2 linked regions of the Arabidopsis thaliana genome follow. The protein of the gene in region 2 interacts with the protein of the main gene of each other region in a pairwise test. Each region holds a gene or a part of one and is shown on either strand. Other genes may lie near its edges.

Region 1 (6,694 bases), on a different chromosome or scaffold from region 2:
AGGTCAAAAGGCCCCGGAAAATCAGTACGTTGGTAGCATTTGGATTTGGAGATAACGCCGTTAAAAGACTCTGTAACGGGTTTGCTCAACAGCTCTCTCTAGTTCGTTTATCGAATTAGATAATGCCACTCCAAAAAACGTTACTTTACCTTACCTATCTCGCTGACGTCAGATCCCACCGTTAGAGCTTACACTTGTAACGCCGTTTCCTGCATTTTCCACAAGCAAGGTAAAAAAAAGCTTTGTGCAGAGAGAGAGAGAAGAAGAAAAATGGGTTTGCTTACGAACAAGATTGAGAGAGAAGAGCTAAAGCCAGGAGATCACATCTATACTTACAGAGCAATCTTCGCTTATTCTCACCACGGTAACTTTAGATTCATTCTTCCCAAGTTTGCTCCTTTCTTTCTCGTTCATTCAATCATAACATCAAAAAGTGAAATTATCCTCAATGCAAGTCTTTTCTTTTAGTTTCTACTGGTCGGTTTAATCTTCTTATTGAAACTGTAAATTCACAAAGTTGACGACTTTATCTAGATAGATCTTGAAGACAATGGTCTATATTCCAATCTTTGCATGACCTAATTTCACCCTGGCTCTGTATTTTGATGTTATTCCATCATATCTTCTGATCTCTGATGGACTTTATAGATGATTTTTGTTTATTTGACATATTTTTATCCCAATTTCCTCTGGTGATGAAGAATTGATACTGTTGTAGACATTCCTTCATGGGCTTTGATTTGATTGTGGATTTTTGCAGGAATCTTTGTCGGTGGGTCCAAAGTTGTTCATTTCAGACCTGAACACAACCCCATGGATTCATCAACATCATCAATATCATCATCTTCCTCTGAAGATATCTGTTCCATATTTCCTGATTGCGGTTTCAGACAACCGGACAGTGGAGTAGTCCTTTCTTGCTTAGACTGTTTCCTCAAGAACGGCTCACTCTACTGCTTCGAATATGGAGTCAGTCCATCGGTTTTCCTAACCAAAGTCCGCGGAGGGACTTGCACAACCGCGCAATCTGATACAACTGATTCAGTCATCCACAGGGCAATGTACCTTCTCCAAAACGGATTTGGCAACTACGACATTTTCAAGAACAACTGTGAGGATTTCGCGCTCTATTGCAAGACCGGTTTGCTTATAATGGATAAGCTCGGTGTAGGGAGAAGCGGTCAAGCTTCTTCAATTGTTGGTGCTCCTTTGGCTGCACTCCTCTCTTCTCCTTTCAAATTGCTTATTCCAAGTCCCATTGGTGTGGCAACAGTTACTGCTGGTATGTACTGTATGAGTCGCTATGCTACCGATATTGGTGTTAGAAGCGACGTCATTAAGGTCTCAGTTGAGGATTTGGCTCTCAACCTTGACGTAAAGACCATTGAGCAAGGTGAAGAAGAAGAAGAAGACGAAGAAGAAGATTCTGATACCGACTATGTTAGGTGACAAACAGATACCTATCACCTTTGTTCACGAATTTCGATATACATAAGAAAACATTTCAGTTAGAATCCTCATGTTGGTTTTATGTTCCCTTTATTGCATTTGTTGGCCTATTTTCTGTCTGTACAAAATGAAAACGCAGACGTTTTGGTTTGGGTAATGTCAAAAATATCCCAATAATTAATTAATGCCCAGTGTAGATGCAAAAAAGCAGTCGTCGTCTTTCACGGGCACACAAAATTAAACCAAAGAAACAAACAATCCTTGTTCTCGCCGAAATAGAGAATTTTGTGAATCTGGGTTTTTAGTTCAGGTGTTAATATAAGATTTTGATCAAAAGAAGACGAGATTCGATCCGATCCGATCTGATTGAAGAAGAAATGGCGAATCTGTATGTGAAAGCGGTTCCACCACCGGATATGAATAGGAATACGGAATGGTTCATGTATCCAGGAGTTTGGACGACTTACATGCTTATTCTCTTCTTCGGTTGGCTCGTTGTTCTCTCTGTCTCTGGTTGTTCCCCTGGAATGGCTTGGACTGTTGTTAATCTCGCTCACTTCGTTGTAAGTCTTCGATTGTGTTTATGCTTTAGAGATGATTTTTTCACTTAGGGTTGTGACTTTAAATTAGATGATGGATTGATTCCTTGTTTTTTTTTTATTTCCTGAGATCTGGATGTGAATCTGGCTCTAGTGTTTGAATTGATCTCTTTGGTTATTAGCAATTTTTTAGTTGGTTTAGGGTTCGAATGAAGAGGCAATTACCTTCTGATTGATCAGTTTTAGCTATCGTATATCGTTGAGCTTGGATCAGGCTTCGAATTAGGATACAGTTACCTTCTTATCAATGAATTGATCAGTTTTGGTATCAGCGATTTTGAATTGATCTGTTTGGATACTATCAGCAGTGTTGACTGTTGAGTTGATCAGGCTTTTAAGTAAGATGCAATTCTCTTCTAAGTTTGAATTGATCGGTTTTGGATCAGGCTTCGAATTAAGATGCACCTTCTCGTTAATGAATTATCAGTTTTTGATATCAGAAACTAAAACTACCTATGGCATCAATGCAATTTCTTAAGGTCTAACTGTTTGATATAATGCGGTGACTTGTAAATTGGCATTGCTTGATTGTCAAAACCAAATTTAATCTAATTTCTAATTACTCTTTAGGAAAATGTGATGTCTGAGTAGAAATTTGTGGATATTTGTTGTCAGGTAACGTATCACAGCTTCCACTGGATGAAAGGAACTCCTTTTGCAGATGACCAAGGAATCTACAATGGTTTAACTTGGTGGGAACAAATGGACAATGGTCAACAGCTTACCCGCAACCGCAAATTTCTTACCCTAGTTCCTGTTGTTCTGTAAGTCCCAGCACCTTGTTCCTCAAAATCTCACCACTCTTGTCTATTTCCAATCTATATTTTCTTAGCAAATTATTTTCTTTAGCTGCATATATCCTTGTGTCTCATATGGTTAATAAATATGCTAATTTCTCAATACACATATCTAAATCCGGTGATGTGTAACGGACTAGTTCTAGAGAACTCTGTATACGCGATAATGTGTATAAACAAGAGCTGCATTTATCTGGATGAACTTTTAAGATTGAGCTCTTTAGCTTTTGTACTTGTTTTCTGACTTTATAACGACACATTTAAAACAGGTACTTGATTGCATCGCATACAACAGATTACAGACATCCATGGCTGTTCCTCAACACACTCGCTGTGATGGTTCTCGTTGTTGCCAAGTTCCCCAACATGCACAAGGTACGCATCTTTGGTATCAATGGTGATAAATAAGTTTCCTTTACGGCAAGAGAACACCTGAAAGAAGGAAAAGGGGATATAAGCGAACATATATATGTGTAAATGTTCATATGAGTTGGTTTAATTCTCGAGTCATGTTTTTTGTTGGATATTTGTAAGTAAACTCTCTAATTTTGAAGCTTTCATCTTTTACCTTTTATAATAGACACGAAAAAGCTTTCCCTTCATCTCCCCACTTCACTTCAGATAATGGGCCTAATAGCAATATGGGCTTGAACAATAATTGAATTTAACAATGGCCCAAAGATTCCTGTCGTGGTGACTCATGAGTTATCATAACACCAGAATGTTTTCGATTGAGCGTAATGATTCAGTGGGATCTAAAGAACACGTGGCTGCCTACAAGATCTCTAACAGCTGGTTAATGACACGTGTCATAGTTAAAGTCCACCTGGATGGATATTATATCATGGTGTACGTATACAAAATAGTTAATCCCTCTTCAAAATTGAATAAAGCTAACAAAAGTAATCAATTAACGTGATTAAAAAAAAAAAGAGAATGCTAATTGGACCCCGAAAACATGATATATCCTGCAAAATTAAAGCCGACAAAACGAAAGAATGACTAATTAAAGTTGGAATAAGACTAATGATTTTTTTTTTTTTTTTTCTTATTGTGGTCCAATGTAAGAAAATAAATAAAAACATCTTATCCATTAAATCGAAAGTAGGGTCCATATCGTAATAGCCGTCGATTCTCTCTTTAGCCAACACGTGTTGTCAATCCAGCTGTTTCAGATGCTTACCAAGCCAAACAAGTTATTGAAACTGTGTCGTTTTGTGTCCCTAACTCGGAAGCTTTTACGGAAGAAACTGTAAATTTGGTTCCATGGGGCCAGAGAGTGTGAGAAACGAAAATTAAAAAAAAAGAGAAGAAAAGCCAAAAGCTTCGGTCGCGCAAGATCGCTTCATTTGTTTCTAGAGTGATTCATGGATTCTTTAAACTACTAATAATGGTATCTTTAGTTGTTACTTCGTTTTCTGATCTATTTTACAAATCTTACTCTTTTGCTCTGTTTTCGTGGTTTTGTTTAGATAAAAGTCTCTGTTCTTCTAGTTTCTTCCATCAGACTGTTTTCTCATGGATCAGTGATGATTTTTGTTTCCTGGGTCAACTTCTGATTTTGGAATTTCTGAAAATTTTGGTAAATTTACTCGATCCCATTGCGAAATCTTACGCATGATCTTTGTAGTTTGCTCTGCTCAAGACTTTCTTTTTTTTTGGTTCTGCAGTATGTCTTAATTGCTCTGAAACTTATGTCTTGTTGTGTTTAATTTGGTGGTGAAATATATTGTCTTCTTTATTCCTGGATCTGTTAAGATTGTTTAAGATTTCATATACGTTGAATTGGTTTTGATTGAATATATTTTGGTTCCCAGACGTTGCGTGTATTATTTAATGTAAATTCCTTAAATCATTGGCTTATCTATGAATCAATCATTTGCTTAGAAGCAATCTCATGAGTAGCAAGAAAAACGAATTAATCCTTCCCATGTCTTTTATGTTTATATTACAGGATCTGGGTGAAAAAAGAACAGTCTTTTGATTTGGTGTGTTTCTCTTTTCTCTTAATTTTTTAGGATTTTTGTTGTGTCTTAATGAAATAATGGGAGCAGCTGAAGCAAGAGCATTGTGGCAAAGAACAGCTAGTCGTTGCTTTGTTGTTCATGAGGATGCTAAGATGGCTCCGAGGTTAGCTTGTTGCCAACACCAACAATCTTCTTCGGGCAACACCGAAAAAAACAGCTTTTCTTCCGGAAGTTTTGGAGATTCCTCTGATTTCTCTTGTGATACCAAATGGTGGCTTAAGGGATCAACTGGTTTTGATGAGGAGGTTACAAACTCCTTTCTTGAAGATACCAAATGCAAGAAATTGCATGAATTTGTCGACTTAATCGGAATACGAGAAGAAGAAGACTACAGCTTTATTAGCAAGAAAGCTGACGCTACAACACCGTGGTGGAGAAGCACGACGGATAAAGATGAATTAGCTCTCATGGTGGCGACTAAATCGGTTGATCATAATATCCAGAATTGTGATCTTCCTCCACCTCAAAAACTCCACAAGAGTATTCACTCCTCGAGTGGAGAAAAAGGGTTTAAAACAGCGGTTAAATCGCCATGGAAGCAAGGAGTTTGGAAGGATCGGTTTGAGAGATCTTTGAGTTACAATGGTAGCACAGAGAGCAAGAACACGAGTCCAATGTCTTCCCCTAGAAGTGATGATCTAAGCAAAGGTCAGCTTTTAGAAGCACTAAGGCATTCTCAAACCAGGGCAAGAGAAGCAGAGAGAGCAGCGAGAGAAGCTTGCGCTGAGAAAGACCGTGTGATAACAATCTTGTTGAAACAAGCGAGTCAGATGTTGGCTTATAAGCAATGGTTAAAGCTTCTTGAAATGGAAGCTCTTTATCTGCAGATGAAGAAGGAAGAAGAACAAGAGGAACAGGTCAAAGGAATGAATCTGAAGAAGAGAAAACAGAGAGGGGAGAAGAAGAAAAAGGGTGAGACTGGGAGATATATGATGGCTTTTGCATTAGGGTTTAGTCTCATTGGTGCTGGTTTGCTCTTAGGTTGGACTGTTGGATGGTTGCTTCCCTTCTAGAATCTTGAAATGTCTTCTCTTTGGTCACTCATCTTTTCAAGAGTTTTAGGTTTTATAACTTTTCACTTTACCTCTAAAATTGTGTGTATATTTTGTTAATGTATGTATTGTGTGATGTTTGTGTAAATTTAATCTTCTGTAGAAGTTTATTTGGTTAGGGTCTCTCTCTCTCTCTCTCTCTCTGCTACACAAAATTGAGAAGCATCAAACTTGGAAATTCATCAGAAGCTTGAGAATGTTGGAATCAAATAAATCTTATATTTGAGCTGAAAGTTTGCTACAAGTGGACCTCATTTGACCCAATTTTCTAATTAAGGCCCATATGTTTTTCAGACCCAAACTTTTTTATTTTATAATTTCTTTTTAGGGGTTCCAAAAAAATAATAGTATTTGCGTTTTGAACTTCTAAATTCTAAGCATGGTGGAATAAGATTTAATGATTATGGTCTTAGTTGCTTTAAAATTTATCACGGATGTTTAAAATTAAAAGTGTGATCACTTGAATAGTTTGTGTTTATGCATGCTTCTGTGAAATATATACAAAACTTTTTGACTAAATCCCAAAATTCAAATCTGTATAACGAATTCCTTTGATAAATGTGACTTTAAAAGATAATTCCAAAACATTGAAAACATATGTGTTTTAACTTCTTCTTTTTTTCTTTCAAATATCATACAATAGGCAAGTCTGGATGATGAGACGTCAATTACTAGCACCGACGACTAAAATACATGTTTTCATCATCAAATGTCTTTAAAATTCATATCTCTTTTGTTTGTTTGTTCATATCTAAGATAGCAATTAATAT
Region 2 (7,123 bases):
CTCAGAGAACTTACCTACCTACATTGATGCCTCTGCCACTTTGCATCTCATGAAAGTATATTCCACGTTTGTTTATTACTCATATATACAGAACTCATGCATTGTGTTGATACAAATAAGATAATTAAATACTATGCGGTGAAGCACGAGAGTAGTCGAGTCATTTGGTGTTACGATGCTAACGTTTCTCAAATTTACTAATTTTTTACTCTTTCTTCCTCTTAGAAAAAATAAGGGTGAATTAGCTGTGTAACCATTAACCAAAACCCAATTAATTTTCCTACAGTGTTATCTAAAACCCTAGTGTTTACCACGTCTCTGCTAGAAGCCTAGAAACATCTCTTTTAATTTTTCACAAGACAAATCGGTTTTATTAATTTTGTTGTTAAAGAAGACAAATCGTTTCTATGAGATTTTATTTTCACTTACTACATAATTGACTTTTCTTTTCATATAGTAAACTCGTATGCTTGTGCAATGTTGGCGTGCTCAGGCCACGCGTGCAAGGGTCTTAACTCTTAAACCGGACATTCTAATTGAAAATATAAATAGGCTTCTGAGAGCATCATTATTGGTTGTCTCTTATATTAGTTCTTAAGATTTTTTTTTGTAATTGATTACTAAAAACATCTCATTCTATCTCTTATATAAGAGATAGAATGAGATGTTCTTAACCTAAGAACTAATTTAAGAGACAAGCAATAATAATGCTCTGACTTGTCTTTCATACCACTTTTTAGTTTTCTTAGTCAATAGTATATTTTCGCACAAAAAAGTCAATAGTATATTTTGACGTCTTCTTCCAGTTTTCCATCGTGAACTATTTAATTTAACATTTGACTACTAAATAACTAACTTTTACACTATATTATATTAAAGAGATCAACATTAAGAAAAAATTCCAGCTATGTATGTTATTTTATCTACTCTAATACTCCAACAGGCATTATCAAATGATATAATACAATTAGACATTACATGGACTAATCGGATTATATTTATCACGGTGACTGACTTTTGTTTTGGAATTTATCACGGTAAGTTATCTAATATTTTTAAAAATTCAATTGTTGTTGGAAAGATAAGCGCAAGATTACTAATATAGCTAGATCCAACGGGGATAATTATTTGGTTTTTCTTTAATAAGTTCCAAATGGGAACTATGACAAAAACAAAAAAAGGTTTTAACATGATCTAATTTTCGATAAAAAAACATTGGTTTGAAGAAAATTACTATACACATGAGACATGACCTCCAATTTCTAAACTACAAGAATAGGCTACGTACTGAGTTCTTATCTGTTAGTACTTCAGAAAAGTATTTTGACATTCACTATATTAAACAAATAAGAAAGAAATACAGCTATGTGTGTTATTTTATTTTTCTCGTGTTCTGTTTTTTGGCTAGTATAATACTCTAACAGGCTTTGTCAAACTACAATGAGACATTATAAAACACTAATCTAATTATAATAATCACGGTGACCTTCCAAACGTACTCTTAACTTGTTTAATATTTTTTAAACTTTCCAACTGTTGTGGACAGATTGGTGTGCAAGATTACAATTATACACTTTTTTTTAATCCGAGTCATGTTCCAACTGGGAACTGCTATTACTATAAAAAAATCCGAGTCATTTTTTTTTTTTTTTTAAAGCTTGATCTAATTAGTTTTCCAATTTGGTTTGAAGAATTTATAATCCACATGACCTCCAAATTTCTTAACTATAAAAGAAAAAATATTTATAGGCTACTTAGTTCTTGTTATTTGACTATACGTTCGTAACAAAATGGGTTCACTTCATTATATAAAAAAATATCGCAAAATTATCATTTGTGATGTAAATTATGTTTTTCATTCGGTCTTGTACCGGCAAGAAATGAGTTATACCACCATTGACTTTATTTATTTGAAGAAAACAATTAATTACGCAACAAATAAAGAAGGAAAAATAAAATAAAATATAAATTAATTAAGCAATTAAACCACGATTTAATAAACTCCGTGTGGCCCGAAGAGGACGTTTGGGCCAAAAAGGGTCTAAAAGAGTTGACTAATGACTTTGTAGTTGTACCTCTCCCGCCAAGTAAAAGCCGTTTTAAATCTTCTTACCAAACTCACACGTGTCACCTAAGATGTCGGAGTGGCCTAGAAGTTGTTGACTCTTGACTTTTTTGATGGCTTTCCCTTTGACGAAAGACAGAAGCTCTCTCTACTGTCATTGAATGATTTACATTGGAAAACTTAGCATACCAAATTTCTTTCAATTCTCAGAATTATGAAATGGGCAATTATTCTAGCCAGACACAATCTCTAAAAGTCCTAGCTATACGGACATTACATAAAAATATGGTCTTTGGTTTTCAGTAAATTACTGCACATAACGATAAGTTATCTTGGACCATATGTGATCATATATATTGGGCCTAGTTATGGGCCTGGGCTTCATCGCCAGGGACAAGTCGTATCATTCATCTGATCATCGGTAAGGTTTCTTCTAAAATTGTTGGTGGTGTCCGTGATTTGCTCAGGTAATTGATTAAACGATAAAAAGACAAAGTTATTATTGAATTAAACGTTGATTAATAATTTTTTCAGAATGTCTCATGTAATTTGAGTTGTCTATGCAAACATTTCAGGGAATGATAATTCGTATATAATTTATATTGTTTGGTTTACAGAGATTAAGAGGAACAAGAAAGTTTGTAATCACTAGAATAAGAATAAGCTGTATATATTACAAAAACAACTGATTAAAAGAAAACAACATCAACAACAAGGATAACATCAAACGACAGTAAAAGAATAACAAACTTAGACAAAAAAAAGAATAAAAAACATTACAAGTTTACAACACATAATATGCAAACAATAGATAGATGGTATCGTGGTCATGTGTTGTGTGGCAGTAGCTAGCTATAGAGCTTAATTAGCTTCTCATTTGGAAGGTGGTGGAGTGAAGAATGGGATTGTTGGAATGCTGGTGGGAAGATTGAATGGGAAGTTGTTTGGGATAGAAATTGGGAAGTTAGGGATATTGATTTGTGGGAAGTTTGGGATATTAATGGGTTGTGCTGGGTTAGGTAAAGAAGGTATTTGTGAGCTTGGTAATGGCGGAAACGCAGTTGGCTGAGGAAGAGAAGTTGAAGGAGGAAATGGTGGCATTGTGGTTGTGGGAAGTGGTGGAAATGTTGTTGTAACCGGTGGGGTAATAGCTGGTGTTGATTGAAGAAGGTGGCGACTAGCTGAGAGACCAGTGAAAAAGCTTGTGAATGTTAATGCAATGACTAGGGATGACAACCAGTGAGCCATTTTGGGGATTAGGGGTTTGAGTTGTCACTGGAAAGAGGTTTGATTGTGAGTGATGATGGAGAGATTATGAAGGAGTTTGTGTGTATTTATAGAGGAGTTAGGGTTTTGAGGTTTGATGAGAAGTAGGTTTGAAGAAGTTTTGTTGTTGCAACTTATTTAGAGTTACTTGTTCCACAACCACAAGTAAGATTGGTCACTTCTAAGTTCTAACTAGAAACAACCATGACACATGGAGATTTCAGCTAACCTAGTTTAATGTATATGTATTATATTTTATTTAAATATTATAAAATAAAATAAATTTTCACAAATAAAAGAACTACAAAAAAGTGAGAAAAATAATTTGATAAACAAATTTAGAAAATTAGTATATCAATAAATAAATTTATAATCCGATGGTTTTGCCTTTTGGTTTGGCCTTTGTTTGAACTTCGATGAGTGACTATGTATAGCGAAAACAATTCGGTTTGTTTTTGGTTTAATTTTAAAAAATACAAGCGACAATATCTGATGAGAATAGGTGAAAAGCAAATAATATCAGTTTAATTGGAAATATTTACTTTTTTACAACTAATATTTTGTTTGGTCAACCAACAAATAGATTTAATTAATTATGGTTTATGAGCTTTTATTTGTTGCGACAGTATATATATGTTAAAATAGTGATATTGCATGGCGGAAGGTCCGGAAGCAACACATATCTCCTTTTTAATTTTTTTTTTAACAAGAATAACATGTTAATTTTTTTTTGAAATTAATAAAGAATACATATTTCTAATTTTTGCGTCAGATAGATGATTAAAGAGTGTGTGTTTTTTTTAACAAACAAGGAATACATTATACATATTTCATATTTCTCTCGACATTGTTTGTTTTTTTAAAAAATAGATTAAAGAGTCTACGAAGCTAAGTAGCTAACGAAGACTTGAAATGAGAAGAAGACGAGAATCTTTTAATATTTTTTGTTAAGCGATAATATTTTGAAAATTAATAAATATAGATTAAGGAAATAACAATAACGCAGATATCGGTAAGTCATAGAAAAAAAGAAACAACACAAACTTACATAAACATGTTTCCTAATTTGTAATGGAGTAAAATTCCTTCTTTTTTTTTTTTTTTTGATTTGGATTCCAATTAGTAAAGAACTCAATGACTATAAATAACCTTTAACCCTCTCATTATTTCTTACTATCAATTGATTAAGCTCTCGTTCCTAAGAAAGCAATAGACGAACAAGAACCCATCGAAGAACACAAATCTCTCTTTGAAGTTGTCGATAATGTTAGTACACCGTTACTTCGTCCAAGACTTTTTTGCCGTTCCGTTTCTTACAAAACAAGGATTTGGTTACCATTACTTTTGTCGTAACTCCTTTTTACATGTACGTCAAAAAGTGGTTCCTCGCTCCGGCTTGAAGAAACGACCTTCTTACCCACAAAAAGCTTATTTTAAACCGTCTAAAACCGGAAAATCTCAATCTAAACCGGATACGGTTCATGAGAAACCGATTCAAACACCGAGTGAAGAAGTAGAATTTTTTGATGGTTCCGTCACAATGTGTGCTGCTCCTTCGCCAAGACATGTACCGATTCCGATATTTTGTGGTGTAAAGATGATCAAAGAGTCTTCAAAGCTAAGCACGACTTGAATGAGAAGAAGAAGACCAATTACTCAATTAGATTTTGTTTTGTGGAGCAATTATTGTCTATTTATCTTTGTTTTTAGCAAATAATCTGTATCCACTAATCTTCACAGTACTTGACTAACAAGAAGTAAAGAGTTTTCTTATTTCCAATTGTTTTTTAATCTGATACTTTTTTCATAATTTTACAATGTTTGATGAAAAAAAACATTCAAACCTAAATTTTCTTTTTTTGGTATGAATTCAAACCTGAATTACTTTTGACGAGGACCCGACGGTATAAATAGGGTGATCTCCCAACAAACAAAAAGGGTTGTTAACTTTGACTCTCAAGAACCCTAAATTCAATTACTCTCGAGAAACCCTAACTTGTCCTTTAAACTAGTTAGAAACTTCTTGTAATAATCAAGTTTAATTGAAAAAATTTCAAACTTAGTAAAGGAAAACATGATTAAGGTAAAACAGATTAAGGAAAACAAAATAAGTGAGACCGACAGTCCTAAATCATAAAAAGGAAACATATCACAAACGGACAGACTCATGTTTCCTTTTGTTTGTATCAATTTTCTTTTATTTTCTACGAGTAAAGAACCCAACTTCTATAAATAACCTTGAACCCTCTCATTAGTCACAATTATTACTTGATCAAGCTCTCAGTAACTCGTAGAAGAATAGATAAGTCTACCATTTTCCGACCAATCATCAAATCTCTCTTGAAGATGTCGATTATTATGTTAACACACCGTTACCTCGTCAGAGAGGTTCATGCCGTTCCGTTTCTTACAAAACACGGAATTGGCTTTTACTTCTTCTCTCGTAACTCTGTTTTACATGTTCATCAAAAGGTTCATCTCTTTGTCTTGAAACGTTTTTGTTACCCACAAAAGTTTCCTTTTAAACCTTCGAAACCATCGCAAATTAAAGCTGATGTTCAGGAAACGTTATTGAAACCTTCGAAACCATCACAGTCTAAAGCTGATGTTCAGGAGACGTTATTGAAACCTTCGAAACCATCACAATCTAAAGCTGATGTTCAGGAGACGTTATTGAAATCTTCGAAACCATCACAGTCTAAAGCTGATGTTCAGGAAACGTTATTGAAACCTTCGAAACTATCGCAATCTAAAGCGAAGGTTCAGGAGAAGTCGGCTAAAGCTACGAGCACAATCAAGACACTGCAGATTCAAGAGCGAGAACTGTTTAGTGGTTCAGTCACAATGGATGCTGCTCCGTCACCAAGACACGTACCGATTCCAATATTTTGTTATAGAGAGTGAGGACCAATGAGTCTTCTAAACTATCGACAACTAGAATGAAGTAAAGAAGAAGACCAATTGTTTTGCAGAGTTTTTGTTTGGTTTTGTAAAGCAATTACATATTATGTTTTTTTGTGTGGTAATTTATTGTTCTACGTTAGTGTAGTTCAGTGTTGAATTCATAACTGTAAATTCAAGATAATAAATTGTTAACTAAAAAGTAGATATATACAGTTAAAAAAAAGTACTGTTTTAAGCAGACTCGTGAAATTAAATAACTGGATCCCATGATCTTCTACTTTAAATTTCAGAATCACAGTATCTCTATTAGTCTCTATCTCCCTCCTATATAATAAAAAAGACCATAACTACGAGTTGTTGTGTCTTGTGCGATTGCTTCTAAGGAAGGTAGTGACATAGAAAGTGTAGGTTACAGTAGCTGCGACGATACAAACTCCGATGTATGTGCACAGAGTGGTTGCACACACATATAGGTACCTGTTCCCATTTGTACACCAAACACAATCAGCAACAATCTTTTCTTTTTTTTTTAGCGAAAACCAAACTGATCCAAATCGAACTAAACCAGAAAAATCAGATTGAAAAACCGAATAAAGCAGACAGGATCAAAGACTCACTTGGGAGAGAAGACGCTCCATACAAAGAGGTGATTTCTCATGAGTAGTAAGACCACAGTATATGCGGTCAAGAGTATTGAGTTGATGCAGAGCGGAACAAGGCAAGGGAACCCGAGCTTTAGCTTCAAAATTTGTCCAAGACTCGTTTCCCGGTGAGTTGATATTGTTGAGTTTGAGTGGTTTCTAAGATTTGCACCAATGTACATGACGAGGGATAGAAGGAACAGCATGGGAGATGCATAGGTGATCATGAACATCAAGATCCCAGAGA

Evidence for each region. Proteins that work in one complex are often made in the same cells at the same time.
Region 1: the proteins of AT2G22510 (region 2) and AT1G01240 interact in a two-hybrid assay, tested with the Arabidopsis thaliana proteins (one large-scale study listed by BioGRID).

The regions. Positions count from the first base shown.
Region 1 is NC_003070.9:95,794-102,487, forward strand, and holds AT1G01240 (uncharacterized protein), read left to right. Parts: upstream 1-4,072; 5' UTR 4,073-4,889; coding exon 4,890-5,885; 3' UTR 5,886-6,194; downstream 6,195-6,694. Other genes in the region: AT1G01225 (NC domain-containing protein-like protein), read left to right, coding at 271-364, 761-1,449; AT1G01230 (ORMDL family protein), read left to right, coding at 1,827-2,012, 2,664-2,812, 3,115-3,253.
Region 2 is NC_003071.7:9,566,389-9,573,511, forward strand, and holds AT2G22510 (hydroxyproline-rich glycoprotein family protein), read right to left. Parts: upstream 3,397-7,123; 5' UTR 3,314-3,396; coding exon 2,939-3,313; 3' UTR 2,635-2,938; downstream 1-2,634. Other genes in the region: AT2G22520 (uncharacterized protein), read left to right, coding at 5,678-6,235; AT2G22530 (Alkaline-phosphatase-like family protein), read right to left, coding at 6,583-6,712, 6,853-7,123.